3 linked regions of the Arabidopsis thaliana genome follow. The protein of the gene in region 1 interacts with the protein of each later gene in a pairwise test. Each region holds a gene or a part of one and is shown in the gene's direction. Other genes may lie near its edges.

Region 1 (8,771 bases):
AGCTTCCTTGTCTTTTTTCTTCCTCCTACAGGTTTATCTGGGAACGTTCATTCAGCAGACATTGTTGCTATGTCCCAGGTATTTGCTGACTTTTGATATATATTCCAACGACAAGCGTGTCCAAGTTTCTTCCCTCACTTGTCATTGCAGCTTACGTGTTTGGTGTTGCCGCGTGATCACTGTCATTTGCTTGAGACTAATTCCATCTGGCAATCGGATACGTCACTTGACAAATGCTCTTTAGTGGAACGCATTTTGCAACTCGACCCTTTAGAAGTACGTACGGACGGTGTTCTTCTTTATCACATTTCTTTCTGCTTCTGGCAACTGAATCTCTTTTTCTCTGTGCTTCTTTCTTCTAGTTGAATATCTTCAGGGGGATCACACTACCTGATGCTCCTATATTTGGAAAGGTTTTTGGAGGACAATTTGTCGGACAGGTATCGCATTTTCTCTAGGAAGGTTACATTATTATGTCTCTGTAAACCTTGCTGATCTGATTCATGTGCATATATATATTGCTTGTTAACAGTGATAACCGTAACCACTACTAAGTCACTTTTACCAACATTTTACAGGCTCTTGCTGCGGCGTCAAAAACTGTTGATTTTCTCAAGGTCGTCCACAGTTTACACTCCTATTTTCTTCTCGTTGGAGATATTGACAGTATGTACATAATCTCACTGGGGCACTTTCTAGCCACCAATGATGCCTTTCTTCCCTATTGAAACCCACCCTGCTGTTGGATTCATCTGATTATCATAGTTTGTTGCTCTTGCTTGCAGTCCCCATTATTTATCAAGTTCACCGCATACGTGATGGGAACAACTTTGCCACCCGAAGAGTTGATGCAGTACAGAAAGGAAATATCATATTCATCTTGCTGGCATCATTTCAGGTTTCCCATTTTATTCTTTACAAGATAGCTTATGAATCTCTACGTCCACCTGCCACCAAGAGAGAATAGCCTTTCACAAAACTGGGAAAATTGTTTTCTTAAATTTTCTCTTTTATTACTTTCATAGAAAGAACAACAAGGATTTGAGCACCAGGAGTCAACCATGCCCTCTGTACCAGATCCTGATACGGTAAATCATTTCTCCAGATTTAAGGGTTCCAATAAATTGTTGTGTGTTTTATTTTTCACCATTATCTGCTACAGCTTCTATCACTGGAGGAGTTGCGTGAAAGCCGTATAACTGATCCTCATTTACCGAGGTAAGTGGTAGTGTTTTCCAATGTATGATAACTTATATCAAAAGCTCAAGTTGGACCAATCTTCCAATTGTTTCTTTCTTTCAGGAGTTATCGGAACAAAGTTGCAACTAGAAACTTTGTTCCATGGCCTATAGAGATTCGATTTTGTGAGCCCAGCAATTCAACAAATCAGACAAAGTCTCCTCCGAGGTTAACAACTCGCTGAAATAAATCAATTATATCATAGAGTACTCTTGAGTGTATACTCATAAATTCCATTAAGTATTTCTTAAAAAAAAAATCAAGAAACTCACAATGCCTTCTTGCAGATTGAACTATTGGTTTAGAGCAAAGGGAAGGCTTTCTGATGATCAAGCTTTGCACCGGTAAGTAACTCCATCTATGTATATCAAGGTAACCATCTAAAAATTGGTATTATTCATCTGGTAACAATCCTTTAAACTTTAAAGGCAAGAATGATTGTAGACAAGTGAATCAATGGTGTTTTAGTATCCCAAGTTGATAGGTTGAGACTTGTAAAAGGCCAAACTTTCTTAATAGCATTGAAAAACTGACGGTATATTGAAATTCAATTTATCATTCTTAGCAAACTAATCATTTGGCAAAGCCATGTTGATATGCAGATGTGTCGTTGCATTTGCCTCGGATTTAATATTTTGTGGTGTTGGTTTGAACCCTCACCGGAGAAAAGGGGTGAAATCCGCCGCACTTAGCCTGGACCATGCGTAGGTTTTTATTTTCTCTTGGTGATGTATGAGTTTTGTGTGTCTGGGTTAAATTTTTTAATTACATTGAGGCATTATTCCAGTAGGGATCTTCCAGATAAGTAACTATTACGAGTTACTATTCCTCATTTGGTTTGCAGGATGTGGTTTCACCGACCTCTAAGAGCCGACGAGTGGTTGCTCTATGTGGTAGTTTTTTCTATCCTTGTTTCTTATGAACATTTCAGATCAAATGTTTGTTCAGAATAAATGAAAATGATTTTTGGTATAGAGTTGTTTTATAAACTTGTTTGCTGTAAGAGGTTCACCCACTTACAACACAAAGGATGCTGCTTGCAGATTGTGAGTCCAACTGCGCATGAGACCCGTGGTTTTGTGACTGGTCAAATGTTCAACAGGAAAGGAGAGGTACTCTTTCTCTATTCTTTTGAACCCTATTATACATACATATCTGGAAATGATAAGTGATAAAAGAATTCCTTTTGGTATGTGTTTTTGAATATGAGAACAACAGCTGGTTGTATCATTAACGCAAGAGGCCCTATTAAGAGAGGCTAGACCTCCAAAACCCTCCGGCACGTCGAAGCTCTGAATGGCTCTCAACGTAAGTTAAATAAGATACATTATTACGAGTACAAGGCGACGAATAAAAAGATCAAAAACCAATCTGGGTGGGTACTAAATAAAAGATTTTATTAGACAAACTCATAATGTCAATGTAGCACGCTGTATGTACATTGTTTGATTCCGGCCTTCTCACCTCTATCATCATCTATCTATAAATTCTCTTGTTTTTTTTTTTTGTTTTAAAATTCTTTCTCACAAGAACACCTTTAGATCGATTCGTGGGCCAGAAAATTATGGGCCCAAGTATCAAATTAGTTTTCGTACGACCCATTTTGGATCCGCGGGGGTATCTTTGATGGAACCGGTACACCTGCTTAACCGGCCGGTTTATAGTTTTGTATCCATTTGTGATTTGCGGGTTTCTGTTGCCACCTCCCCACTCTCCTCGCTTTTGTTGGTCTTGGAAAAACCCTGGGATTTTGGGTATCTCTGAGCACGAATTCTACATTCTCATGGCTTTCGAACACAGAAATGAAGACCTAAATTCCTTGGATTCGGAAGAAGATCTGGAGAAAATGGAGTCAGAGGTGGAGCAAATGTCGCGCAAGGTTTCCGAGTACAGGAAAAGCCTACCGAGTAATCTGAGCAATTCTGTGATTTCTTCTCGTAGATCCAATTTTCCCAACATCGATTCTTTGGGCTTTCGCACAACTAGCACAGGTTCGTACGTTTCTTTGCTTATATTTAGTTAGATACCTTCCTTCTCCTTTGGTTTCAGCTGGAATTTTAGTCTCTTTTTCTTTCTAGATGATGTAATAATAGATTGATCCTCTACATTATTCGTGGATCATTCTTGTGAAGACCAAGTTGTTTAGCAGCAGCAGACTTGCCTTTTGATTGTGATGTCGTTTTTTGCATTTAGGTTTGTGTCATGCCATGCGTGTAGAATATTGTGATACTTGCTACTATACCCTCTGGATGATTATGTTCATGAGTTATTACGCTTAATTCTGAGGTGATGATACATATACAAGGCTTTTCCATTACAATAAATCATGTATTTTTGTGGCTTAGAATCGACAAGCATGAGACTATGTGATGATATGTTTAGCTAAGCTGAGAGAAAATGATTGTTTAGCCAATTTTTGTTTACAGATACCATGAGATAAGTGGCCACATTAGGTGACACTAAGATTTCATAGCATTGTAATATACACAAGTCTCTAGTGAACTGCTGTTGTGATAACCAACTCATCAGTTATTTTGTTCCTTGCAAGTTTGGAAGAACCTCTAGTGTCAAGAGATGGAGCACATATAGGTGGAATCGAACAAGAATCTCGAGATAGCCTGATTCAGCTCAAAGAAAGAGTGTACGAGAACATTGCCACAGTGCCTCTAGTTGTAGAGAGAATGCGAGAGAGTAAAGAGAGAATCGACAAGTCCATTTCTTTCAATGGAACTACTATGCACCCGGCTTTCACAAGGCGGAAAGCTAGCTAACTGATCAGTTTCTACTTCTCCCTATTGGCTTTACCACTCAAAGAAAGCTAATGCATAGGAGGAGATATGGCTGGTATTTCTTTCTACTATATTAGTATCAACCAACATCTCTCGCATTTAGAATAAGAGTATACCATAACCTCTGTTTTGATTGTGTTCTACATTGAAACAGGTCTTTCTCTGATTTTAATATGGACTCTTATAGAATCTTGGGCTGATTCTACACCCTGTATGTATATGTAAGAATCACATAATCAGATGGTTGCACAATTGTCAAGAACACCCAAATCCAAGCTTGCGATTTAGCAATCTCACCCGTGTAAGAAACTTAAAACCATAAAACCAATTGATATAAGAGCTTTTCTAGCAAAAACTTAAAAATATAATTAACACCGTCGAAAATGGTGGAGGCTACTAGAGCGAGATATAAACTTTATCACCGTTTAATCGTGTGGGATTTTGAAATGATATGAACCTATTGCAAAAAGACAAAAAAAAAATATAAACGGAGGAACTAGGCAGTGGGACCGGAGATCCACCGACCGGAAACGAAGAATCCATAGTAAGATAGAGCCCAGGGGTTCGGTCGTATCGGACCGGTCGGATTTGGATTCTAACGACAAGTGAGTGGACCCCCAGAAACGACAGACGTAAGCAATGACAACATCAAACTCATCGCCACGTCAGCAACGGAGTTCTACTTGCGAAACGTGTCCCGGCAGCGTCATCCACCCACGTGTGTTCTAGAAGCTCTTCTCCTCCTCCGTATCTCGACACGTGTCCACTCCCTCTCCTTATATAATTGACTTTTCTCTCATTCTTTCCAAGTTTCAAAAACGCCAAGTTTCAGAGGTAGAGAGAGAGATACTACAATTGATTAGGATAGGATCAGGATCATCCTCAACAACCTCCTCCTAATTCCTCCTCCATTCATAGTAACAATAATATTAAGAAAGAGGGTAAACTATGTCAGAATTATTACAGTTGCCTCCAGGTTTCCGATTTCACCCTACCGATGAAGAGCTTGTCATGCACTATCTCTGCCGCAAATGTGCCTCTCAGTCCATCGCCGTTCCGATCATCGCTGAGATCGATCTCTACAAATACGATCCATGGGAGCTTCCTGGTGACATACTAGCTCTCTTTCTCTTTAATCTTTGCCGGATTCTAAATCTGAGATTGTTCTCTGCTGACTCAAATTCAATTTTACAGGTTTAGCCTTGTATGGTGAGAAGGAATGGTACTTCTTCTCTCCCAGGGACAGAAAATATCCCAACGGTTCGCGTCCTAACCGGTCCGCTGGTTCTGGTTACTGGAAAGCTACCGGAGCTGATAAACCGATCGGACTACCTAAACCGGTCGGAATTAAGAAAGCTCTTGTTTTCTACGCCGGCAAAGCTCCAAAGGGAGAGAAAACCAATTGGATCATGCACGAGTACCGTCTCGCCGACGTTGACCGGTCCGTTCGCAAGAAGAAGAATAGTCTCAGGGTATGGAATCAGATCTGATTCACATCTTTGTTTCAATCTCTTGTTCTGTTTCTGGTAAATTGAATCAACGGTGTTGATTTTTGCCCAGCTGGATGATTGGGTTCTCTGCCGGATTTACAACAAAAAAGGAGCTACCGAGAGGCGGGGACCACCGCCTCCGGTTGTTTACGGCGACGAAATCATGGAGGAGAAGCCGAAGGTGACGGAGATGGTTATGCCTCCGCCGCCGCAACAGACAAGTGAGTTCGCGTATTTCGACACGTCGGATTCGGTGCCGAAGCTGCATACTACGGATTCGAGTTGCTCGGAGCAGGTGGTGTCGCCGGAGTTCACGAGCGAGGTTCAGAGCGAGCCCAAGTGGAAAGATTGGTCGGCCGTAAGTAATGACAATAACAATACCCTTGATTTTGGGTTTAATTACATTGATGCCACCGTGGATAACGCGTTTGGAGGAGGAGGGAGTAGTAATCAGATGTTTCCGCTACAGGATATGTTCATGTACATGCAGAAGCCTTACTAGAAGGGAATTCCTTTCCTGCCGCCGAAACGCAACGCAAAACGACCCTCGTTTTTGCGTTTATGGCAACACGAGACCGTTTTATATGGTCAATGAGTGTGCCGATTCGGCCATTAGATTTCTGTTCAGTCTTCGTTTATTCTATAGACCGTCCGATTTCAGATCATCCCTAATCGGACGGTGGTCGTTGGATGTATCAGTAGTGTATTACTGTGTTAGGTAGAAGAAAATCCACTTGTTCTTAAATTGGCATAAAAGTCAGAAGCTAATATTTATATGTGCCGCAATCAATTTAATATTTTCTGTCTACTTAGGAGTAATGGATACAAACTAGCGTATTGGTTCTATATTTATTTATCAGCTTTCACAGTTGATCTGACTTACATTTATTGTGAACATATCTAACAAGTGTAGAGGAGTAATGGATACAAGCTAGAGTACAGTGTGTTAGCAGAAACGCTATAAGATGAAGTCTGATGTTGAGCTACATGTTACTGTCCATTGTCACTTGTCGGACTTCTTTGATGGAAAGATGAACTCTTTCACGGAATCTTGCGCTGAAAGTATCCTCTGTCTGATCTGCATATGCAAAATGTCATAGATAATATAGAGTTAATTGGCTACAAAACCCCATCGAACCATAAGAAATTGATTTGGTGTTCAAGAGTAAATGAGTAATCAGTACTCTCAACATAGAGAGAGTAACAACAGACTAAAAACTCAGCAAAACAAAGTAGTCACTACTCATTCGTTGAAGATCCAGGCAAACGCAACAAAGCTGAGCATAGAAGTCAGGAACATTCATATCTCATTCAAAGTTTTCTAAGATCAAAATTCAACCCTAGCAACTAACAACTAATAAAGAGATCTAACCAATATCAATTGAAACCAAGTGATTGTAGGCTGTAGCAAATATCTGCGATTCGAAGCGATGATGATCGAGAAGGTTGACGGTTCGATTTATTAAACACAAACAAAAAAAAAAGAGAGAGAGAGAGAGAGAGAGAGAGAGAGAGAGAGAGAGAGAGAGAGAGAGAGAGAGAGAGAGAGAGAGAGAGAGAGAGAGAGAGAGAGAGAGAGAGAGAGAGAGAGAGAGAGAGAGAAACTCACAGGATCAAGAGCGTTGGGCTCTGGACCGTAATCAGCGGTTAAGAGGAAGTACGATACAACAGCAGTCGCCACCACACTGGTTACCTTCACCACCTTTTCAATTTGGGGATTCATCGATGTTTTCGTTCCCAGAAAGAACAATTCCGGTGATTTTGGTTTTTTTCAAGTGACACAATGATGATGTTATACGTTTTTTTATTGGTAAAACGACACACAATCCGATTTGTGTAAGAAAATTCATGCCGTTTTCGTTCACTTCAAATATGGGCCCAGAAAGGCCCAAACATCTCATCAAGTCCTCACGGCGTCGTTTTTAAGATCCCCGCTGCGTTGATTTATGGCGATCTCTTTCGGCGGTTGAAAACCTTTGAAAATTGAAAATGGAGAAATCGACCTCTCCGGCGACTCGAGTCACCGAACCTCCTCCTGCTGCTACTTCATCTCTTCCAGCACAAGCTCCTCCGCTTCCTACATCTGCAGATCAGAGATCAGCTGAGTTACCTTCGCCTGCTCAGCCAGCTCAGATGACTGCGCCTCCGTCGACAGTTACCACAGATCCGTCGTCCAGGGGAAGAAAGCGAGCGCTGGAAGCGAATCTTCAGATCGAGAGCTCCAACTACTACAAGATGCGTCTCCTTGTCAAAGATCTTCGCCCTCACGTTCTCGAGGTTGGACCATAATTGTGATAAAAACATTCAAACTCTTTGTTTGGGAAAGGGTTTATACATAACAACTTGGATTTTGTGGTGTGCTACAGGTTTTACGAACTCCAGACTTGAGGAACTCTAAGGCAGTTATCGAGATTCAAGAGAGTGAGAAGCTCTTACACTCTCTTCTTTTGTTATCTCAATTTTCACTTAGCTCAACAAAAGGCCCAACTTGTTTGATTCTGTGTCCCTTGAAATGATGATGTTTGCAGAGATGAAGCTTATGCTTCAACTGTACGAAGAGATGATTGGAGAGTCTCCCAAACGTGAGAAAACAGCTAAGAGCGACTCTTTATCCAACGGAAAGGCGACTACTACTACTACTACTACTACTAGTGTACTGAGATCATCTGAAACTGAGAAGCACAGCTCTGATGGAGATGGCGACAAGGTGGTTGGAGGGTCGGCATTTGGCTGGAACTTCATAACCTCTGGAGGGCCAGGCACTGAACCTGTTTATTCTGGAATGTCAAAGGAAGAATACAGAAGCTCTCACCCAATTATGCAAGTGGAGGCAGAGCTTGAGTTGCCCAACACATTCTAAGCTTTGTTAGTGGTGTTTGTATAATATTATTCACTTTGGTATCCGTTCATCCCAATGTTTTATATGTATCAACTGAAACAATGGATTAGCTTCTACCCATGAAGCCTTAATTAGTACACAATATGCTTAACATCTAAACCTTTTTTTTTACACAATATGCTTAATGAGACAGCACATTACCTTTGGATTGTTAATCAAAGCTTCTTCATCTTCTACCAAAACCCAAAATAATAAGTCTTTAGTTCTGTGTGGAAGCTGAAATCTTTCTGGCTTCAAGAATGGATCCTTCGGTAAGTGCGATTTGAGATTCCTTCTCCATTCCCAGGACAGAAAGAGCAGCAGACTGGAGATACAATGCAACATACCAAACAGGAGAAATGCCTTGAGCCTTCA
Region 2 (12,910 bases), about 19 Mb from region 1:
GTTTCAGTCTGAATGTCACAAGGGGAACAAAGTATCTAATCAAGCCAACCTTTCTCTATGGAAACTATGATGGTCGTAATGTCATCCCGGATTTTGATCTTTACATCGGCCCAAATATGTGGATCACGGTGAATACTGATAACACTATCAAGGAGATCCTCCACGTATCGAAATCAAACACTTTGCAAGTGTGTCTTGTTAAGACAGGTACAAGTATACCTTATATAAATACATTGGAACTACGACCATTGGCCGACGATATATACACCAACGAAAGTGGCTCCCTCAACTATCTTTTTCGGGTTTATTATAGCAATTTAAAGGGCTATATAGAGTAAGAATCGCTTGCTTGATCATTATATTTTTTGCTCTAGAGTAGACAAACATATTATGTTTAATGTAAGTTTGTGCCAGGTACCCCGATGATGTCCACGATCGCATATGGAAACAAATCCTACCTTACCAGGATTGGCAGATTTTAACTACGAATCTCCAAATAAACGTTTCTAATGATTATGATCTACCCCAACGTGTAATGAAAACAGCTGTAACACCCATTAAAGCTAGCACAACGACGATGGAATTTCCCTGGAACTTAGAGCCTCCAACTTCACAGTTTTACTTATTCCTTCACTTTGCAGAGCTTCAAAGTCTACAAGCCAACGAGACGAGGGAATTCAATGTGGTGTTGAACGGAAATGTTACATTTAAATCTTATAGTCCTAAGTTTTTAGAAATGCAAACAGTATATAGCACAGCACCAAAGCAATGCGATGGAGGGAAATGCTTGTTGCAGTTAGTGAAAACGTCAAGGTCCACTTTGCCGCCTCTAATTAATGCTATGGAGGCTTACACTGTGCTTGATTTCCCACAGATAGAAACAAATGTAGATGAAGGTATGTGTGTTTTTCATATACTTATATTCTTTTCGGGTTTTAATGTTAAGCTTTAAATATATACCGAACTTGAATAGAAACTAGACTAACCATATATATAGTAGCTCAAGAAAGAAAGATAGAAACATGGAACCTTTGAAGACAGTTACAAAATATGAATATTGATATCAACTAACTTTATAAATAATTACTAGTGATTGCTATCAAGAATATACAATCTACTTATGGATTGAGTAAAACAACCTGGCAAGGAGATCCATGTGTACCCAAAAAGTTCTTGTGGGATGGTTTAAACTGCAACAACTCGGATGATTCTACGCCACCAATTATCACTTCCTTGTAAGGACATGATTTCATCGTTTTCCTACTTTTCTTTTGTACACTTAACATACTCATTATTTTTTCATCACTAGAAACTTGTCTTCAAGTGGATTGACTGGAATTATCGTGCTGACCATTCAGAATCTCGCCAATTTACAAGAACTGTCAGTATCAGATAACTATATAGATAAGCATCATTAGTTTTTAAAAAAAAAATGTTGGTAGAAATTACTAAGATGAATGGTTATTTTATCTTAATCGTTATAGGGACTTGTCAAATAACAACTTGTCTGGAGGTGTTCCTGAATTTCTAGCGGATATGAAGTCGCTCTTGGTCATGTAAGTTTCCCATGAGAATGATGTCTATTAGCCCTTGATCCTTGTGCTTGATCTATGTCTCTATCTAAACAGAAACTTAAGTGGGAACAATCTCAGTGGTGTAGTTCCTCAAAAGCTTATAGAGAAGAAAATGTTGAAATTGAAGTAAGAATTTGTATATTGTATTTGTTTGATACTAACATGTTTTTTTATGATAAACTAATTTTTTCTTGACTTGCAATCCAAAGCATTGAAGGCAATCCGAAGCTTAATTGCACAGTGGAGTCATGTGTAAACAAAGATGAAGAGGGTGGACGACAGATAAAGAGCATGACAATCCCAATTGTGGCATCAATTGGTTCTGTTGTTGCCTTCACAGTTGCATTGATGATATTTTGTGTTGTTCGAAAGAATAACCCGTCAAACGATGAAGGTATTCACATTATATTCATCGATCAAGATACTTATGAATACACACACATTAAACTTGCATAGTTTCATTGAATGTTTTCATCACAACTTTAGCTCCAACATCATGTATGCTACCCGCGGATAGTAGATCATCTGAACCGACAATAGTGACGAAGAATAAAAAATTTACGTATGCGGAGGTTTTAACCATGACAAACAATTTCCAAAAAATCCTTGGAAAAGGAGGATTTGGAATTGTATATTATGGTTCAGTAAACGGTACAGAGCAGGTTGCTGTGAAAATGCTTTCCCATTCATCAGCTCAAGGATATAAGCAATTTAAAGCTGAGGTATTCATACCACAACTCATAATGGAATTTTGTGTGAAACATTCCAGAGTTTCTTTCAAAGCTAATTTGGTGTATCATTATGGTACGTTAGGTTGAACTTCTTCTTAGAGTACATCACAAGAATTTGGTAGGCCTTGTCGGGTATTGCGAAGAAGGAGATAAATTGGCTCTCATCTACGAATACATGGCCAATGGAGACTTAGATGAGCATATGTCAGGTAAACATAATATTTGTTTTTACTAGAAAGGCAACATATTTGGTTTTCATAACAATACATCATGGTGAAACTATAACATACCAAATGGTAACTCTTTAAGAAAAAGAAAAACAAATAATAACTCAGAATAATATATTTTTTTGTCATTTACAATTCACTCATTAGTTATTTTTTTGAATATAATTTTGAATATTTGTCTATTGAATGTAAGAATCTAACACACATTAGTTATTTTTTTAACAATACATAGGAAAACGAGGTGGTTCTATATTAAATTGGGGAACAAGGCTAAAGATAGCTCTCGAGGCTGCACAAGGTTCGTATTGATTTCTCAAATACCTAACCTCATCATATTCTTTCTTTGTTTCTTTTGCTTTGACTGACTGAAACTTTGTGAAAATAATATTTTTCATAGGATTAGAGTACTTGCATAATGGATGCAAACCCTTAATGGTTCATAGAGATGTTAAAACCACAAATATATTGTTGAATGAACATTTCGATACCAAACTTGCTGATTTTGGGCTTTCGAGATCATTCCCGATAGAAGGGGAAACTCATGTATCAACTGTTGTTGCTGGAACTATTGGTTACCTCGATCCCGAGTAAGTATTACTTCTTCAATAAGAAAATATATTTTGTAGATATTTTGTCTCCAATGATTACGTAATATTCTTGCACTTTGAACTATTTTATAGATATTACCGAACAAATTGGTTGACGGAGAAAAGTGATGTGTATAGTTTTGGAGTTGTATTATTGGTGATGATTACAAACCAACCCGTGATAGACCAAAACCGCGAAAAGAGACATATAGCAGAATGGGTGGGAGGAATGCTTACGAAAGGAGACATCAAAAGTATTACTGATCCAAATCTCCTTGGAGATTATAATTCTGGTTCTGTTTGGAAAGCTGTTGAACTAGCAATGTCATGTATGAATCCTTCTTCGATGACAAGACCGACAATGTCTCAAGTTGTTTTTGAACTGAAAGAGTGTTTGGCCTCTGAAAGCTCCAGGGAAGTGAGCATGACCTTCGGAACTGAAGTGGCCCCTATGGCTCGGTAGAGGTCCTGATTATATTTCCTATTGTATCGCGTGGATCATTATTTTACCCTATATATCCTTTACAACTATCCTAAATTTTGTGCATCAATTTTATTTTTTGTAAGCAATGAACTTCTAATTACAATAGAAGTTCAAAGTCTTTTTTCCCCCATGTTTCAGTTTATTCCAACTAACCATGAATTAAATAATGGGTGGTGGTGCATGTTTCTTTTACCAAAAATAACCATGAATTAATAACTATAGCATTTGCTTATGACCCTTCAACTTCTAACATGCAGAGTGACCTTTGTATATAAGCAGCGTCACCTAAGAGATCCAGTCACCAGTACGGAAACAGAAGAAATTCCTGACAATAAAAGAAGCAAACTCACCTCCTAGCTTTTCAAATTACAAAATTGATGAAATTTGGTTTATAGATTCTCTTCATTGGGGCAAATCATAGAAATAGTTTGGTCGACATTGGGGCAAAACATGGAATAGAACGGGACAATTTTGGAAATAACAGATTGAGAGCATCAGCAACGGCAACTTCTCAACTTCCGATTCTCAATATATGTGTGAACATAAATATAAGTGTGAACACAAATATTATTAATATTTAATTGGAAAGTATTTTAATTAAACCAATGATTGAATGACAACTGTGAGAAACGTTGTCGATGAGTTTTTCTTGGTTTCTCTAAAGAAAACTTTCCCTTACCTCTCTCCTCCTTTTGACATTTTTTTCTTATTTTATTGGTGAGAGATTTTATGAGAAACTCCCGTTGGAGTTGGTCTGAGTGTCCTTCAAACATTTTTAAAATAAATATCACACATTCACACTATAACTGCTTATTCTACTTTTAAAACCATAAAATGATTGCTCCAAGCCATTGGGAATATAATCAAATATATATACTTAATCCAAAAGGTACATAAAATTTGGTGACAAAAATTTACTTTTTGTTGGAAAAAGAAAGTATCTGAGCAGAATATTGGACGGAGCAAAGAAACAAGAGAAGGATATCAAGTAGCACAACTTGACAAATTGACAAAGGATCAAACAAGATTCATATGTTGTAATAATCTATAGTCAACTAAGGCAACACATTGCTTACAAACTACAAAGTGAAGTCATTGTCATTAATGGTTATCAGATGATTACTTATGTCCACATAATATAGAAAAAAGCATATCCTTGACAATATTGAAGATAAGAAAATTCAAGGAGAATCTAAAGACTGATTGTTCTTTCGAGTTGACTTAGTCAACGGTTTTGTGGTTCCAACTTGTAAGCTGTAATTACGGCTGGGCAAGGTAACGGACCACTCTTGTCATTTTCTCTCAACCAAATCATTTTACACCATCGAAATAATATCCTCATTAAATGTGTTCCCTCAATTATTTGATTCATTAATGTGACACTTATAAGAATTTGACTTAGGACTTTGAGAAATACCTCATATACATAATCATAAACTTATATGCATAGCTTTGCTAACTCAAAAAAAAAAACAGATCCCTTCTTTGCATAGTAAGGAAGATATTAATGGAGAGTCATCGTGTGTTCGTTGCCACTTTTATGCTGATACTTCATCTTGTTCAAGCTCAAGATCAACCCGGTACATACAAAATTGTTGTTTCAATCTATACATATGTGTTCTTCAATGGTTTCTTAGACTATAAGATATATATTTTCCATCTATTATTTCATTAGGATTCATCAATGTGGATTGCGGTTTACTCCCTCGTGATTCTCCTTACAACGCACTCGGAACCGGTTTAGTATATACATCAGATGTCGGTTTAGTTAGCAGTGGGAAAACTGGTAAAATCGCCAAGGAATTCGAAGAGAACAACAGTACACCGAATTTGACATTGAGATACTTTCCAGACGGAGCACGAAACTGCTACAACTTAAACGTGAGCCGTGACACCAACTATATGATCAAGGCTACATTCGTGTATGGAAATTACGATGGTCATAAAGATGAGCCGAACTTCGACCTTTACTTGGGTCCAAATTTATGGGCAACGGTAAGCCGCAGTGAAACTGTTGAGGAGATCATCCATGTGACGAAATCCGATTCGTTACAGGTTTGTCTTGCTAAGACGGGAGATTTTATACCTTTTATTAATATCTTGGAGCTACGACCATTGAAGAAAAATGTGTACGTTACAGAAAGTGGCTCACTCAAGCTCTTATTTAGGAAGTATTTTAGTGACTCAGGTCAAACGATAAGGTAATACTTGTTTGTTAAAAATTCTATTGTAAATTTAAATTTACCATTATATTTATAGTTTACTAGATTATATCCCACATGATACGTAGATAATATATACAATATTTAGATTCTAAATTGCTAACCCGTATAAATAGGTTTTAAACTAAAAACCTCTTTTAGTTATCTGTAAATTATGTTTTATAATTCGTGATTATTAAAATTCAAAAACTACCCATATTACCCTTAAATAATCCCTTTAGGTGAATAAATATATATTTTTGAATATTATTTTCTGAATTTAGTTGTTCTAACATGCTGCAACAAAAAAAAGAAAAAGAGAAAAAAAGAAAAAAAATCTAACGATTGAGAAATGTTTTGTTTTAATGTAATAAGTCAGATTTAAAGTTATACCCTGAATTTTTGTCATGTAAGAATTCTAAAGCACACGATAACAAACTCTTATTTTCTAATTTTCTATATTATGAGTCTTATGTAAATTTTATAGTTTACATATTTTCAATTTCTAGGTTCTATATTTTTATATTGTACCTTACTTTTTCGATTTGATTAGTTTTCATTTTTTCAAATCACAATTTCCTTTCAATTTGTTTTGCTGTTCTGTCTATTTAAAATTAAAAAACTAATAATAATTAGAAATACTATATTATTACATTGACAGTAAACATAACTTTTTATTTGTGTAATGTGGTCTAACATTTACTTGTGGCAGGTATCCAGATGATATCTATGACCGTGTATGGCATGCATCCTTCCTGGAAAATAATTGGGCACAAGTATCGACGACTTTGGGTGTAAACGTTACTGATAATTATGATTTATCACAAGATGTAATGGCAACGGGCGCAACACCTCTAAACGATAGTGAGACATTGAACATTACATGGAACGTAGAGCCTCCTACTACAAAGGTTTACTCCTACATGCACTTTGCAGAGCTTGAGACACTAAGGGCCAACGATACAAGGGAATTCAATGTGATGCTGAATGGAAATGACTTGTTTGGACCTTACAGTCCAATACCGCTAAAGACCGAAACAGAAACCAACTTAAAACCAGAGGAATGCGAAGATGGGGCATGTATTTTGCAGCTTGTGAAGACGTCAAAATCAACTCTTCCGCCTTTACTTAATGCTATAGAGGCTTTCACCGTGATTGATTTCCTACAAGTGGAGACAGATGAAGATGACGGTATGTCAATTTGACATTCTTGATCTTATTTCAAAATGTTTAGCGTGTTGTGTGTTGATTCTTGATATCATCAAGCTTTACAATCGTAGCTGCTGCTATCAAGAATGTTCAAAATGCTTATGGATTGATTAATAGAAGCAGTTGGCAAGGAGATCCATGTGTCCCCAAACAGTATTCGTGGGACGGTCTAAAGTGCAGTTACTCAGATAGTACTCCACCAATAATTAATTTCTTGTAAGATGAATCATTCAATAGATTTTCTTGATTTTTTTAATCATGTCAATTTTGAACTAGATATCTCACAGTTTCTTTCTCCAGAGACTTATCTGCAAGTGGACTAACCGGGATCATCGCGCCTGCCATTCAAAATCTTACTCACCTAGAAATATTGTAAGTCTATCTCAACTGCTGACCAAGCCAAAATTTTTGTAACCATTGGAAACAGATAATGTTTAATGAGTTATTTCACTTTTGTTAATGGAAGGGCCTTGTCAAATAACAATTTGACCGGAGAAGTACCTGAATTTCTAGCTGACTTAAAATCAATCATGGTCATGTAAGTTTTTCATGAGACACTACAATATATTCTACTCTTGACATTCTCCTGAACATGTTTGTTTATCCTTTAACTATTTTTCTACTTCAATAGAGACTTAAGAGGCAATAACCTCAGTGGCCCGGTTCCTGCCTCACTTCTTCAGAAGAAAGGATTGATGCTACAGTAAGCTATATTTTTGTTACTTTCAACCTGTTATATATATATCAGGGAAATTGATGTATTTTGTTTCTTTAACAACACTCACATTCTGCAGTCTTGATGACAATCCCCATATTCTTTGCACAACTGGTTCATGTATGCACAAAGGAGAAGGCGAAAAAAAGAGTATCATTGTACCAGTGGTTGCATCAATTGTTTCATTGGCTGTTATTATAGGTGCACTCATTCTGTTCCTTGTTTTCCGAAAGAAAAAGGCATCAAAAGTTGAAGGTATCAATAAATAAACTCAAGATTAATATTAGAGCATACATGCACATCAAACATAACAAGATTTTGCCTTATATAACCTTAGGGACACTACCATCTTACATGCAAGCATCAGATGGTAGATCGCCGAGATCCTCTGAACCAGCAATAGTGACGAAAAACAAAAGGTTTACTTACTCACAAGTTGTGATAATGACAAATAACTTCCAAAGAATCCTTGGGAAAGGAGGGTTTGGAATCGTTTATCATGGCTTTGTGAACGGTGTTGAACAAGTAGCTGTTAAGATACTCTCTCATTCATCATCTCAAGGGTATAAACAATTCAAAGCTGAGGTAAATTCTAACTTTCATCACTGTCTCGAATGAAAACATCAATGATTCAACTATCTTTAAAAGCTTAAACATATGCATTTTGGCATGGTATTTAGGTAGAACTTCTTCTTAGAGTTCATCACAAGAATTTGGTTGGTCTTGTTGGGTATTGCGACGAAGGAGAGAACATGGCTCTTATCTATGAATACATGGCCAATGGAGATTTAAAAGAACATATGTCAGGTAAGCAAACAAACATGACCTAACCATATATTGCTGTAGATTTATCGTGATAGCATCAGACATTGATATCTTTCTCTCCTTTTAAAACATAGGAACAAGAAACCGATTTATTTTAAATTGGGAAACTAGACTAAAAATAGTCATTGACTCTGCGCAAGGTTGGTTTACCTAGTATCCCTATTATTTCTCTTATATATGTTTTTTTGCTTTTCATTTGATTGAATTTTATGGATTTTGTTGCATAGGGCTTGAGTATTTGCATAATGGATGCAAACCACTAATGGTACACAGGGACGTCAAAACTACAAATATATTGTTAAATGAACACTTTGAAGCCAAACTTGCTGATTTTGGGCTTTCAAGGTCTTTTCCGATTGGAGGTGAAACTCATGTGTCAACAGTTGTTGCTGGAACTCCTGGATATCTCGATCCTGAGTAAGTATTATTATTATTATTTTTTTATTATATATTGTATTATTTTGGTAAAAGAGAGTAAGTAATATAGTTTAAAAGAATTTTGTTTTATTGGAAAGGTAAATTGATAAAATTCTATGCTCCTAAATTCTCCAGATATTACAAAACAAATCGGTTGACAGAGAAGAGTGATGTATATAGTTTTGGGATTGTATTGTTGGAGATGATCACAAATCGGCCAGTGATAGACCAAAGCCGTGAAAAGCCATATATTTCAGAATGGGTGGGGATAATGCTTACGAAAGGAGACATCATTAGCATTATGGATCCAAGTCTAAATGGAGACTATGATTCTGGTTCTGTGTGGAAAGCTGTTGAACTAGCAATGTCTTGTCTGAATCCTTCTTCAACAAGAAGACCTACCATGTCTCAAGTTCTTATTGCATTAAACGAATGTTTGGTATCTGAAAATTCAAGGGGAGGAGCGAGTAGGGACATGGACTCAAAGAGTTCCCTAGAGGTAAGCTTGACATTTGATACTGATGTGAGCCCAATGGCTAGGTAGATTACATGAAATATTATCATGCGGTATCACATAAATTTGTTTATATGTTTTTATTTACAGAACTATCCTCAAATTAGTATCTCTCTTATAGGCCACCTTTGTTAATGAACTCTGAACTTTTTGTCATTGATACATGTGTGAATAACAGTCCAAAGTCTATTATTGTTCCGCCGTAATGTATCAGTTTCAAATCAGTGCATTTTTTGTTTGGAGAATTTAGATTTACTCTTGTTCTTGATTACTATTGGAACACCTCCACTTCGGAAGCTCCTACGTTGGAATGAAATCACCCATTTCTATGTAATATAGTCTCCACCATTTTTACCATAGGGATAATCTATCATCATTTGACGATTTATCCTTTTCTTTGATTTCACACCATTTAAACAAACTCTAATGCGGATTATTTATCTATATATTTGGCTCGAGTTAAATTTTCAGATTTTTATTGGTAATTTTCTCTCTCTTTTGATTGAATCACCAATAGTAAATCTTGATATTTCAATTTAATGTTGTAGTTAACAGAAATAATTGTGTGATTCTAAGACTTTCACGTACTTAGTTAGAAAAGCAAAAAACTAGAATCAGTGGAGAACCTTGGAATTATGACAAAATTGAAGGAGATGTACTAGAAATAGACAAATGTAACTTTTGTTATAAATACTCGTAAGCTTTGTTCATGTTTATTAAACTTTTAAAACATCAACAGTTTTTCCATTGAAAATGAGAAGTAAACCCAATCCTCTCTGGGCCACCATTATCACTATCTTCACCATCCTTGTTATAGGTTTGTAATTGTAGTTACATTTACAACTATTTAAATGTTTTTTGAACAGCGTTTAAATAATTTATTTATTATCATTCGAATCTAAATTAATTGTCGAAAACATGTTATTTTTCTCTATATAAACAAATTCAATTATCTTATGTTAATTTTTTTTTTATCTAAAACGACGGAACTCTTTTTTTTTGTCATCCGATATTAATTAGAGGTCAAAATTCCTGAGAAATATTGTTTATATTGATATGATGTAGTTTGACACAAACTTTTTGTGTCAAATTATCTGTTTTAATATTTGCACTAAGTGAAATAAAAGATAAATAAAAACTTTTGAATTCCTCTTTGTCACTCTGTAATTCCTCCAAATAGGCTGAGAATGTTGGTCATCTGGTTGGGGAAGACACTATCTTCACCAGATCTAAACAGTCTGTTAGAAAAACTGCTTCTTAATTGTTATCGGTAATCATACACTTTATCGCCCAGAGAAAAGCTTGCACTTCTGAATGTAGTAGAGATAGACTTTTTCTGGGATTGCCAGCTCCCATTGTGGCGTCTCTCCATTTAATGATGTACAATATCATCATGTTCCACAGAACTTCTCTTTCTTTCCATGATCCATCCATATAGCATCGATTTCTTGAATAATTGATATCGTTTGAGATATTCCTCACTCGATTCCAAGTTTCTAAATTTGAAAACCATGATTTTTATTATAAAACTCATTTTGAGCTAACTGCCACGATTGTGCCATAAAATGCTTTTCACATTCAACTTATGATGCATCTATTTGGCATCCCCTATTATCGAATATATATATATGGTGATCGAGAACATACTTTAACGGGCTTTTCAATACCAATTTTTTGGTAGCGTCCACCAAGTAAAACTCAAGAGAGTAATAATTGATGTTAAACTAATTTCTATATTTTTTAGAACATTTAATGAAAAGTCCCTCATGGGCTGATTAAACCCTTCAAGTATCAATCTATGCAATTTAAACCCTTGCACTAAATTTTTTTGGTAAGGAAACCCTTGCACTAAATCATTAGTGAAAAAGCCTTTGTTCAACTAAAGACCCATTACAAAAATAAGCCTTTGTTTGTATTATTGTCGAAATACTTCCATTGAATCAATACTTACATTTTGGTTTTTTAAAAGCTGACGATTATAGTTTTCACAAAAATAAGAGAGAATGATGTTTGGTTAAAATACATCATAAATATGATTGAAAATCTCAAACGATCATGTCAATGTAACTATGATATCACTTCATAGGCTGCATAAAACGACTGTTACCAAATCCATCTACAGTCTTAGAAATTCAGCGCATTTGAAGAGAAGAAGTATAAGAACGATATACGGTTTCTACTTTCTCACAAAGGTTTATGTTTTATATATCTTATCTAGAATTATATGATTATTGTTATTATATTTCTAGTGATATATTTCAACAATCAACTCTATATGTGTGTGTATTTTACTAATATACACAAATTTAGTTAAATATGTATATAATATATTTGTTCAATTGTCAAAAAGAAAAACTGATATTTTTTGTGTTAAATATTAACCATAATAGGGTTGATGGTAATGGAAACAATGGGGCTGAAACTGTGTTTTGAAGTTCTACCAAATACATATGGGATTATGGGGTATCTTTGAGTTCATCAACATGTGTCATTCAATGGTGTGCCATTCAATGTAAGAGGAAAGAAGCTAATGGGATCGGTACTTGCAAGCCAAGGCCCAATCAAGGGAAAATACAATATAGAAAACTAAAAGAAGAATGCCACTGCGTTTATAAATGTTCATAAAACTATATTAAATGGTGAACATTAAATCACATTTTTGTTTATTTTATAAAAAATCGTAATATTTATATTTATAATACTAAATAAGTAGACCGCCAATTTTGGTATTCTGCCAAATTAAAATTCTGAAATTCGTACAGATTTCCGATTTACTGTTGGAAATATCCGATATTTTTAAATGAACATATTTTCGTCGGACAATTTTATTACCAAGACCGAGTGAACATCTCCGCACAACCTAAAATCACTACAAAAAAAAAAAACAGTGCGGCTTTTCTACCGAATCTCGACAGACATCAATTTGGCAAAATTCTAATGATTTACCGACAAAAATATGTTCATTAAAAAAGAAAAACCTAGAAGTTACCTCATATAAAATTTGAAGAACCAACACTGTGGGGTTGGGCTAACTCATATATATACTTTCAAAATTTACATACCTTGTTCTTTTCACTGAAAGAGAAACCTAGTAACCTCATATAAACTTCTTTGGCTAACGTTTCATGAAGAAAAGTATTGTGCTACTATAAGAAATATTTGTCGTCATTTTCACCACATACATCTACCAACACTAAATTTCATTCAGATTATATAAAAAATAAAATTTTAAATAACAAAGAACTATAAAAAATAAAATTTTATATAACAAAGAACCGGAATAGAATACAAGTAACACTCACTCTGTTCATCACAAACAGAACAAAAGAAACGTGTGTACGAAGAAACTTCTAGCTTCAAACAAATTATACATAAGATTTGATTCATCTAGCTCCTGGATTAAGCTCTGTTGTGAAATTCATGGAC
Region 3 (9,233 bases), on another chromosome or scaffold:
AAGACAGATGCCATTGACGGGACAGTGACCTGCATATAAATTTGCAATTTAGCCTCTAGCATGAATTACAACCTTTTCATAATGCATCAACGGGGAAGCACAAGAAGTCAGATTATCTGAATGGAACAACCAAAATATCTTCAAAATGAGCAAATATACTTACAAAGATAACGGTGCAGACGTATGCACCCGTAGCAAGAGGAATTCCAATGGCTGTAGCACCTTCAGGAAGAGAACGTAATTGGTTTACACTAATCCCTATCAGCAACAGAGCAAGTGCCTCCCACTATAACAAAATTAGGATAACATGAATAAGCAATATAAATATAAAATCCTACAAAATCCAACCAAGAATTTATATTGAGTAATCAAAAAATTTTAGGCCGATAAGATGTAACTACGAAAGGAAGGTTACACAAAAACTTCCACAACAATATTGTCTGTTATTGATAACCGGTCATACATATAACTAATAAGAACAACTGAAACTGACCTGTATGATAGAAAACCGCCGCTTCATTACCATCTTTAATAGAACAGCGATGACCAGAACCTTTAGGTTGCTAAGCATCTTTACAGTAGCAGGATTGAAATATAGCTGCACAGCAGAAACTTCATTATCATATGACATGAAAATACATAGAGAATGCAAGGTAGAATCAAATAGTACAAGCCGAGATGAATCAAATAGTAATTGCACATCATAATTACATCAATCCACAATTTAATTATGATGTAAACAGCTGACGACTCAAATATCTATCACCCAAAGCAAACATGACAGGTAACGCATTGACCACCGGATCTTAAGGGATAAGAAGATATGGTGGAAAAGAGAGGTGTACAAACTTATCCTTCTAAATGGTAATTCCATTATCTGGTTATGGTTCACTAAAGTAATGTCTGACGTGGAAAGAAAAAAATATAGCATCAACAAAACTGGAACAGATAGAACACCACATGACATGCTCTTGCCATAGAGCCACAACTTCTGACAATATACCTCACTACATTCCACAGCTTAATTACACTTAAGGATACCAAAATGAAAAATAACAAGTGGCTATACCTGCATTGTGAACTTCAGATAGTTATTAATTGCATACAACAGGGCTGGAACAGCAAGAAGCACATTATTTCGGGCTGCCTGTAAAAAATCATGTCAGTGAATTCTGCAGTCTAAGTGGTCAAGCCATTGAACTTTCAAGCTCAGCAGAAAAAAATAGTTCTAAGAAAACTCACAATTATTTATATGTACTGGTCAGTAAATTCCACATTTCAAACAACTGTGCATTGACATACCAACATGTAACTCTTCGAATCATCAATTTACTTAAGTCTAGAAAACCTTATGAACAGTAGGAAAATAAGAAGGCGCAACGAAGATGAGACATGTTTGCAAGACATGACTAGCCATCAGGCAATGAAAGTTCAAGAAGCTAGCTTCAGTTTATTAAAACATCGGAATTATTCTCTACCATGACGATTCAATTGATTAAACGAAGGCATTATTCTCTTTCCTTTAATTTTTTCCCCCCATTTTTTGTCATACCACTAATCTAGTAGCAGCTTGGCAATACACTACTCTCACTCTAATTGACAAAGAAGAGATACCTGGACAAATGTGGAAACGGATAGAAGAGGCTTCTCTCCAACTTTTTGGTGCCTGGCCTACAATTTGAACACAAACACGTAAGTATTGATAGAGCATCCACGGTTCTTACAGAAAAGCAAGAGACTCAAGAAATAGGTAATAATTCAAAAATCAAGAAATTGTCTTTACGCACAGAACATAATGGGATCCTTTCACATTCACTTTACTGGTTTATCAACATCATGAACTTCTCATACTTGTCACCTTCTTATGAAGTTAGAAACATCTAGTAACTAGTCCTAGATACTAGAGTACAACTTAAATGTCACACTAAATGAATCGAGATTGTAAGTCAGTTCAGAAACATACCTGGATTAAAAGCATCACAATCGCAAAAATAACTTTTGCGATTTCTGTCAAGAAGTTGACGCTAATAGGACTGAAGTTGAATTTCCCATCCACCTTCGACATATACACCAAGACAGGCTGAAAAAGAGGAAAAGTATGTAACTTTTAAGTGATTTACACAAACAAATGATGAGCTGAGAGGAAAAAGAAGAACGCTGATAATAAATATGGAAAATTTGTCAAACGGAGATGATTTACCTGGAGACCAACAAGCATGCAATCACCTACAACCAAAAGGACATTGAGGACACGTTGTTTTGAGGATACCCTAATCTTGTGGTCGTCATAAGCCCTAGAAATAGTTTTGCTACCAGGAGAGACCAATTTTGAATGACATGCAGGGCACTCAGCTATACCGTTCTTCATTTGTTGTCTTTCTCAATCTGACAATTTCTATACTGATCCAACAAGCCTGATAAACAACAACAACAACTCATGAGTCGCGTTCCAACTAAGAATCGCAACAAGATATCAACTTTATGTGGAATTTTAGCAGAGAAGGCAAATCACCAAATCTGAACTCACAATCAGATCTCAGTAGCTAAATAAAATCACAATCTAATAGAAACAATGAGCGAAAAAGAAAAGATAGATCTCAAAAACCCAAACATGGATCTAAAGCCGCCATTAGAAGACTTGTCGGTTCATTCCAAAATTCTATCAAAATCGTGATCGATCAAACTAACCTAAACAATCAGCTTAACAGAACATTCCCTCCAGCCACACGGATCCAGAACTCGAGCTCCAGAGTGAATAATCAATCACTAATAAATCTTCGCTCTGAATTGCAGAATTGAAGAAGATCTAGAAACTCTCCAGAGACTCAGCTTCGGTACCAGAAAAGATGCCAAGGAATATGCAGAGAGGAGGAGATTGAATCAGTGGGTCGTCGTTCGTTGTTGCTCGCAAGTGCGCTCTAATTATCTAACACGACCTCTCCTTCTCTCTTTTTTGCTTTGATTTCACAACAACGTTTTCTTTATTAATTGCGGAATTTTTAAGAGATTTGCTCTAATCAGCCTGCCTAACAATAGTTTTTTAGGGGAAAAATACATAAACAAGTTTATTAAATAATGTGCCTAATTATTTATCCTCACATCACATGTTTTTGTAACGTGTTGGTGATACTAATACAGTAATACTCAGTAGCGGGGTAGGGTGTTAGTAGGGGGTCACTTGACCCCATGTATTTTAGAAAATTTTGTTTATTAGGCTTAATTATTTGGTATTTGTTGATAATTTTGTTTTAAATGTTAATGTAGACCCATTAACTTATTTTCAAATCCTGTTTTGTACATTTTTATTAATTTGTTTTTTCTATTTATGCATATTGCCTAACTCTTTCCATCTTTTTTATATATTAATTTTAATTATTTAGTTCCTTCTTGATCCTACATTAGATTATTTCCTACTATATAAAGATTTGGCAACTACTTTTGATAAAAAAAAAATCAATTATGATTTAGATAAACAAAACAATTAACTAATGTGCACAATCTACATATACATTTGAGTAAATAAATATATTGAGGAATGAAATAACATATGTCGTACCTTTTTCACTACTATTATAGAAAAAAATAAATAAATAAAAAATGATAAAGACATATAAAGAATCATGTATTTAACACACAAGTGAAGTGTTTCTAACACTACAAAAACAAAAACAAAGTGTAATTTATATAATTTGTGAGGATTACACAACCATGACATTATTTAGGTTCTAATTTATTTGTTAAAAAATTGATAATAATATTTAAACAAACATTATCGGTAAAATTATACTCTAAATAAATTATTTAATATTAATATTTATATGCATATTAACATTGACCCGCTCATATTTTAATTTTATTTTCCAAAATTCAACTTTTGATTATTTTCGATTTTACTGTTTTGGATTTAAAAACAGTATTGATTGTTTAGATTTTTCTTTTAAGTATTGATTGTTTAGATTTTTGTTAACTGAGATCAGATTTTTGCTCACATTACTTTCACCTCAGACGCTTGATATCGTTGCAAAATCTTAGAAACGTTTTCTGGATGACGCTCTTGAGCTAGTCAGCTAGCAAGCGAATTTGATTTACTTCTAATAAGTTTCATGTAACTGCTTCAGCGTATAAGGAAAGAAAGGTGATGTCCGATGAGGCAGCTGACTACTTTGCAAGTATGTGGCCGCCTCTTCTTGAAAACGTAAGGTCTTCTTATAATCTTATTCAGTTTTCTAAGGCATTTTGTAAGTTTGGATACACTGAATGGACTAACTGATCTTTCTTCTTTAACCCACTTTGTGAAACATTTGGTTTATTTCGAAAGTCTCAAAAAGAGGAGATTGAAGCATTGCAGGATGGAACTCTCACCCCACAAAAGACTAGGCGGTTTTGTATCTTCTTCTTTTAGTACTAGATATTAACTTGTTTTTGTAGCTCTATCTATATCTATCTCAAAATGATATTCCCCATACATAGATAAATTATGACTTGTTTAATTTGTTTGTTTTGATGAAATTTGTGTATAATTTGGCGGTACTGTTTCGTGTTGAAGAGCCCAAGCTTGTTTAAATTGTTTCTTGTTGGGTTCTGTCTAGCTTCTGTTGATTTACGACTACAATACTATGTTCATGTAATCACACAAAAAACGATATGAGACCAAAAAAACATAAACAGTTCAAACAAGATGGGCTCTTCAACACGAAAGAAAGGTGAAATGTTGATAAAATAAAATAAACAGAAAACGATATGAGATCGAAAAAGGTCGGTCATATAGAGCTTCTTCCTTCCTCTTTACTCCTTGGCCTTCTCGACGGCGACTTCCTCAGCAGCCGCAACTTCAGTCTGTTTCTCCTCCAACGCCTCAGTCTTCTTCTCCTCCGGAGTTTCAGTCACTTCTTCAGCTTTCTTCTCCTCCTCCACAACTGTTGGAGTTTCAGTGATCACTGCTGCCTTCTCTTCTTCATCCTCATTTGTCTTCTCTGCATCTTCCACAAACACTTCTTCCGGGTGTTGATTCACCTCCGTCTCAACGATCTCTACTGCTACTGAAGTCACGTGTTCAACCTGTAAGCGAAAACACACTTATTAAACGAAAAAATGCATGCCGTTTAAACGGCGAATAGTCCATATCACTTGATAGACATAGATTTCTAGATACATGATATATATATATATATATATTAACAACGAATATGAACCATAGATACAGGTTTATAGTTTGACAAAATAAAAATAAAGAGAATATATACCTCAACGGTGGCCATTTCGAAGGAAAATATAGTGTATGTGATGCTTTGGTGTATGAAGAGATTTGATCAAGATGAGAGGTATTTATAGTAGAAGCAAACCGTTTACAATAATGTTTTTTCAAACTAAATATCTATTAAGATAAAATTATTAGTTTTTTGAAAGAACCATGATGATGATTATTGCACATGAACGAACCTTTTTTTTGCTTATATATAAAAGCAATTGTACTATTTTACACCTCATGCCCACATAGTATGGGGTGACTGGAGAGGGCTTTAGAGGGTAGCTGTTACTTTATATAAGCTGTAAAGTCTTATACTGTGATTTTTATTTTTTAAAAAATAAAGCTATGACTTAAAAAAAAATATAGTTTTACGAATTTTTACTTTAAAATAAGTTGTAAAGTTATATACATACTGTAAATTTTATTTTAGGAATTTTTTCATATTTTTAAAAAGTACAAAATAAAATATTGTTTTTGTTATTCCTCAGCTCTTGTGAAAAATCATTACTTAATCTTCATTAATCGATTGTTTAGGTCTTATTAATCATGTGTTGAGTTGGGACCATGATTAAGCAATAAGAGTCATTTACCTCCTGTCAAGTATGCATATGCATATACTTTTGGTTGTTGAATATTGTTGGTTGCAAGCAGTACAATCGGGAGAGAAAGGATCGAAAGATCGACAAAGGTGTTGCTAAAGCTGAGGGTGCTGATTAATCAAGGATTAATCAATACGATATCTGAAGCTAAAACTAGAACACCAAAATGTTGATTCATGATCTTAACTCCTAAACATTTCCTTGGTTAATGAAAGAGTTCGTTCATCTTTCAAACCATTGACAATAATAGCAGCTGTCACCTCTTCTTCACCATTACGGGCTTCTTCTTGATGTAATGGTGAATAGTAAGGCCTCTATGCTGTTATACAATGCTTTAAGTACAAGGATTTAAAAAATATTTACAAGCCTTTTTTTAAGAGTTTTAAAAGGATTTACAATGATTTTAAAGGATTTTAAAACTTTTATAATTCCTTTTAAAGTCATTTGAAAACTTTTGTAAATGCTTTCAAAACTCTCAAAAAATTTTTTTTTTTTTTTTTAAACTCTTAAAATTATCCTTGTTGTATATATTATTTAAAGCCTTTTAAACCCTTAAAATATATTTTACAATGGTTTTAAATGATTTATAAGGATTCTAAAATATTGAAAAAATGTTTTAAAAAGGATTTTAAAGTATTTACATGTATATTTAAAAACTTTATAAGGATTTTAATAAGTTTTAAAATGGTTTACAAGAGTTTTTAACAATTTTACAAAGCTTTAAAAAACTTTACTAGGATTTTCTAAGAATTTTTAAAGGATTTACAATGGTTTTTTAAGGGTTCTAAACAAAATTAGAAAGACTTTAAATGCAATTTTTTGGCGGGAAAAAACAGAGAAAATAAAATTTTGGCACTTAAAATTTAGGTGGGTAAGTTTTGGTTTCTAACTACATGTTCTCATTAGATTTGATGATGATTAATTTAGTCATTTTGGTTAAGAAAGTGGTTATTTTTAAAAATGGGCCAAAAAAGGATATCATAGTAGAATTGTGGTTTGGGCTTAAAAGCCCATTACCCCTCCCCTAATTAGTTTTCAACTTTTCATGGAGTCTTCGGTTTTCGACTTTGGATCGGAGTCGGGGAACATGAATTTCGACGAGACCGTGCCACTGAGCCAACGATTGGAGTGGTCAGACGTGGTCCCATTGACTCAGGACGATGGTCCGAATCCAGTGGTGCCAATTGCCTACAAGGAAGAGTTCCGCGAGACTATGGATTACTTCCGTGCGATTTACTTTTCCGACGAGCGATCTCCTCGCGCACTACGACTCACGGAAGAAACCCTCCTCTTAAACTCCGGCAACTACACAGTAATCAATCTTATAATTCATATAATCAACAACTATCTGAACTCTTATGGTTTTGAAATTTGATGGATTTTAGTCTTTTATTGGTCCTTGTTGCTTCAATTTTTAGTCTTACCGATATTTTTGTTTACCTTTGAAGGTGTGGCATTTCAGGCGCCTAGTACTCGAGGCCCTTAATCACGACTTGTTTGAAGAACTCGAGTTCATCGAACGCATTGCTGAGGATAACTCTAAGAACTACCAACTGTGGTAAAGTTCATACCTTTTCACACCTTGTTTGATCTATGTGCTTTTGATCATGAAAGTCTATGAGTGAGTTATACTTTTGAAAATTGTCTGATGAATAATTTTGAATCAATAAATGTATATTCTACTTCTCCATAGATGAAAGTTTGTTCTTGTACACATTGTTAAGTTCATAGTGTCTCATATCTGCTGATTATACAACGTTAAAACCCTTGGTTGTTTGTTTTGAGTTTGATGGTCCATGCTTCTGCTCTATGTTTTCCTTTTCTCTAGGCATCATCGGCGATGGGTTGCAGAGAAACTGGGTCCTGATGTTGCAGGGAGAGAACTTGAATTTACCCGTAGAGTACTTTCACTTGATGCCAAACATTATCATGCTTGGTCACATAGGCAGGTTTGCGATCTCAAACCTTGTTAAAGCATTCACTTGGGGTATCATTGCATATCTTTTTGTTTGATAATATGGAAACAATCTGCAGTGGACACTACGGGCATTAGGAGGATGGGAAGATGAGCTCGATTACTGTCACGAGCTCCTTGAAGCTGACGTCTTTAACAATTCCGCCTGGAATCAGGTAACTTGATCGTTGATACACATACGAAATTCTGTATCTCTAATCTATCAATTGCCGATTCTGTCACCTATTTGTATAATCTCATTCCCTTAATCTGACAGAGGTATTATGTCATCACCCAATCTCCTTTGTTGGGAGGCCTAGAAGCCATGAGAGAATCTGAAGTAAGCTACACAATCAAAGCCATTTTAACCAATCCTGCAAACGAGAGCTCATGGCGATACCTAAAAGCTCTTTACAAAGACGACAAAGAATCCTGGATTAGTGATCCAAGTGTTTCCTCAGTCTGTTTGAATGTTCTATCCCGCACAGATTGCTTCCATGGATTCGCTCTGAGCACCCTTTTGGATCTTCTATGTGATGGACTGAGACCAACCAACGAGCATAAAGACTCAGTGAGAGCTCTAGCTAATGAAGAACCAGAGACTAACTTGGCCAATTTGGTGTGTACTATTCTTGGTCGTGTAGATCCTGTAAGAGCTAACTATTGGGCATGGAGGAAGAGCAAGATTACAGTGGCAGCAATTTGAATATGTGACGCCCCAAAATCACACTTGAAAAAGACTTGATTATTAGTTTTTACGTATGTACTGCTTATTTATGAATCACATGTTCATGTTAACATGTATCAAAACAATCTTGATTTCTCAGTTTCCTTCGCCTTGTGATATTCAGAGAAGCTTTCTCAAGAATGATTTTGCATCACACACTTTGACTAAACGCATTGCTCTCTCGATAACCGGAAGATCAAAACCGAAACCGGGTTTTGGTTTGGCTCGCGGATTTCCCCAATTCAATTTTAACGACAAAACTATACTAATTCATAAGATTAAAAAAAAAGTTTCTGAAGTGGTCGAAGTCGGAAGCGTGATTTGGTCGAAAGATTGGTTCTTTCTCCGACAAGAATTATGTCCAAATCTGGGTTTAGTCTGCTGTTCCTCGTTCTTCTACTTATCATGGGTTTCTTATTTCCGTTGAGAGTTTCTGCAATTAGGTGATTAATTTTGGGTAACAACCATTGCTTCTATGAATTGTCCCGCTTAGTTTCATTTCCTTGAGATTTTCGAATGAATTTGCAGGAAGGATATCGGATTTTTGGAAGAGCGGAGTTGCAGAACAACTGTCCAAGGAAGATACTTGATCTCCGATGATGAAGGTTAGCGATTTCCACTCTTGGAAAGATTCACCTTTTTGAACATTTTGAATCTCTTTCGACTTAGATTTGGTGATCCATGAATGGTTTGTTGTTGCAACTT

The links.
Region 2: the proteins of ATAF1 (region 1) and AT1G51805 interact in a two-hybrid assay, tested with the Arabidopsis thaliana proteins (one large-scale study listed by BioGRID).
Region 3: the proteins of ATAF1 (region 1) and FTA interact in a two-hybrid assay, tested with the Arabidopsis thaliana proteins (one large-scale study listed by BioGRID).

What each region holds. Positions count from the first base shown.
Region 1 is NC_003070.9:263,495-272,265, forward strand, and holds ATAF1 (NAC (No Apical Meristem) domain transcriptional regulator superfamily protein), read left to right. Parts: upstream 1-4,498; 5' UTR 4,499-4,976; coding exon 4,977-5,136; intron 5,137-5,222; coding exon 5,223-5,500; intron 5,501-5,588; coding exon 5,589-6,020; 3' UTR 6,021-6,325; downstream 6,326-8,771. Other genes in the region: AT1G01710 (acyl-CoA thioesterase II), read left to right, coding at 32-78, 151-276, 363-440, 579-666, 786-898, 1,026-1,088, 1,163-1,218, 1,303-1,407 and 5 more; AT1G01715 (uncharacterized protein), read left to right, coding at 3,023-3,230, 3,799-4,010; AT1G01725 (adenylosuccinate synthetase), read right to left, coding at 6,522-6,596, 7,128-7,241; AT1G01730 (uncharacterized protein), read left to right, coding at 7,508-7,795, 7,885-7,939, 8,047-8,378; BSK4 (kinase with tetratricopeptide repeat domain-containing protein), read right to left, coding at 8,617-8,771.
Region 2 is NC_003070.9:19,217,791-19,230,700, reverse strand, and holds AT1G51805 (Leucine-rich repeat protein kinase family protein), read left to right. Parts: upstream 1-4,903; 5' UTR 4,904-5,110; coding exon 5,111-5,183; intron 5,184-5,278; coding exon 5,279-5,804; intron 5,805-6,516; coding exon 6,517-6,995; intron 6,996-7,084; coding exon 7,085-7,229; intron 7,230-7,313; coding exon 7,314-7,385; intron 7,386-7,479; coding exon 7,480-7,551; intron 7,552-7,644; coding exon 7,645-7,716; intron 7,717-7,807; coding exon 7,808-7,983; intron 7,984-8,065; coding exon 8,066-8,313; intron 8,314-8,408; coding exon 8,409-8,535; intron 8,536-8,627; coding exon 8,628-8,693; intron 8,694-8,780; coding exon 8,781-8,970; intron 8,971-9,105; coding exon 9,106-9,514; 3' UTR 9,515-10,465; downstream 10,466-12,910. Other genes in the region: AT1G51810 (Leucine-rich repeat protein kinase family protein), read left to right, coding at 117-334, 415-896, 1,091-1,235, 1,310-1,381, 1,485-1,556, 1,629-1,700, 1,784-1,968, 2,061-2,296 and 4 more; IOS1 (Leucine-rich repeat protein kinase family protein), read right to left, coding at 12,868-12,910.
Region 3 is NC_003074.8:21,937,275-21,946,507, forward strand, and holds FTA (farnesyltransferase A), read left to right. Parts: upstream 1-6,895; 5' UTR 6,896-6,934; coding exon 6,935-7,159; intron 7,160-7,295; coding exon 7,296-7,405; intron 7,406-7,675; coding exon 7,676-7,796; intron 7,797-7,881; coding exon 7,882-7,977; intron 7,978-8,078; coding exon 8,079-8,507; 3' UTR 8,508-8,733; downstream 8,734-9,233. Other genes in the region: UTR6 (UDP-galactose transporter 6), read right to left, coding at 1-29, 164-286, 494-598, 1,070-1,147, 1,615-1,671, 1,964-2,080, 2,201-2,368; AT3G59370 (Vacuolar calcium-binding protein-like protein), read right to left, coding at 4,786-5,058, 5,244-5,258; AT3G59390 (glycosyltransferase family protein), read left to right, coding at 8,886-8,971, 9,057-9,133. UniProt on the Arabidopsis thaliana protein: Essential subunit of both the farnesyltransferase and the geranylgeranyltransferase complex.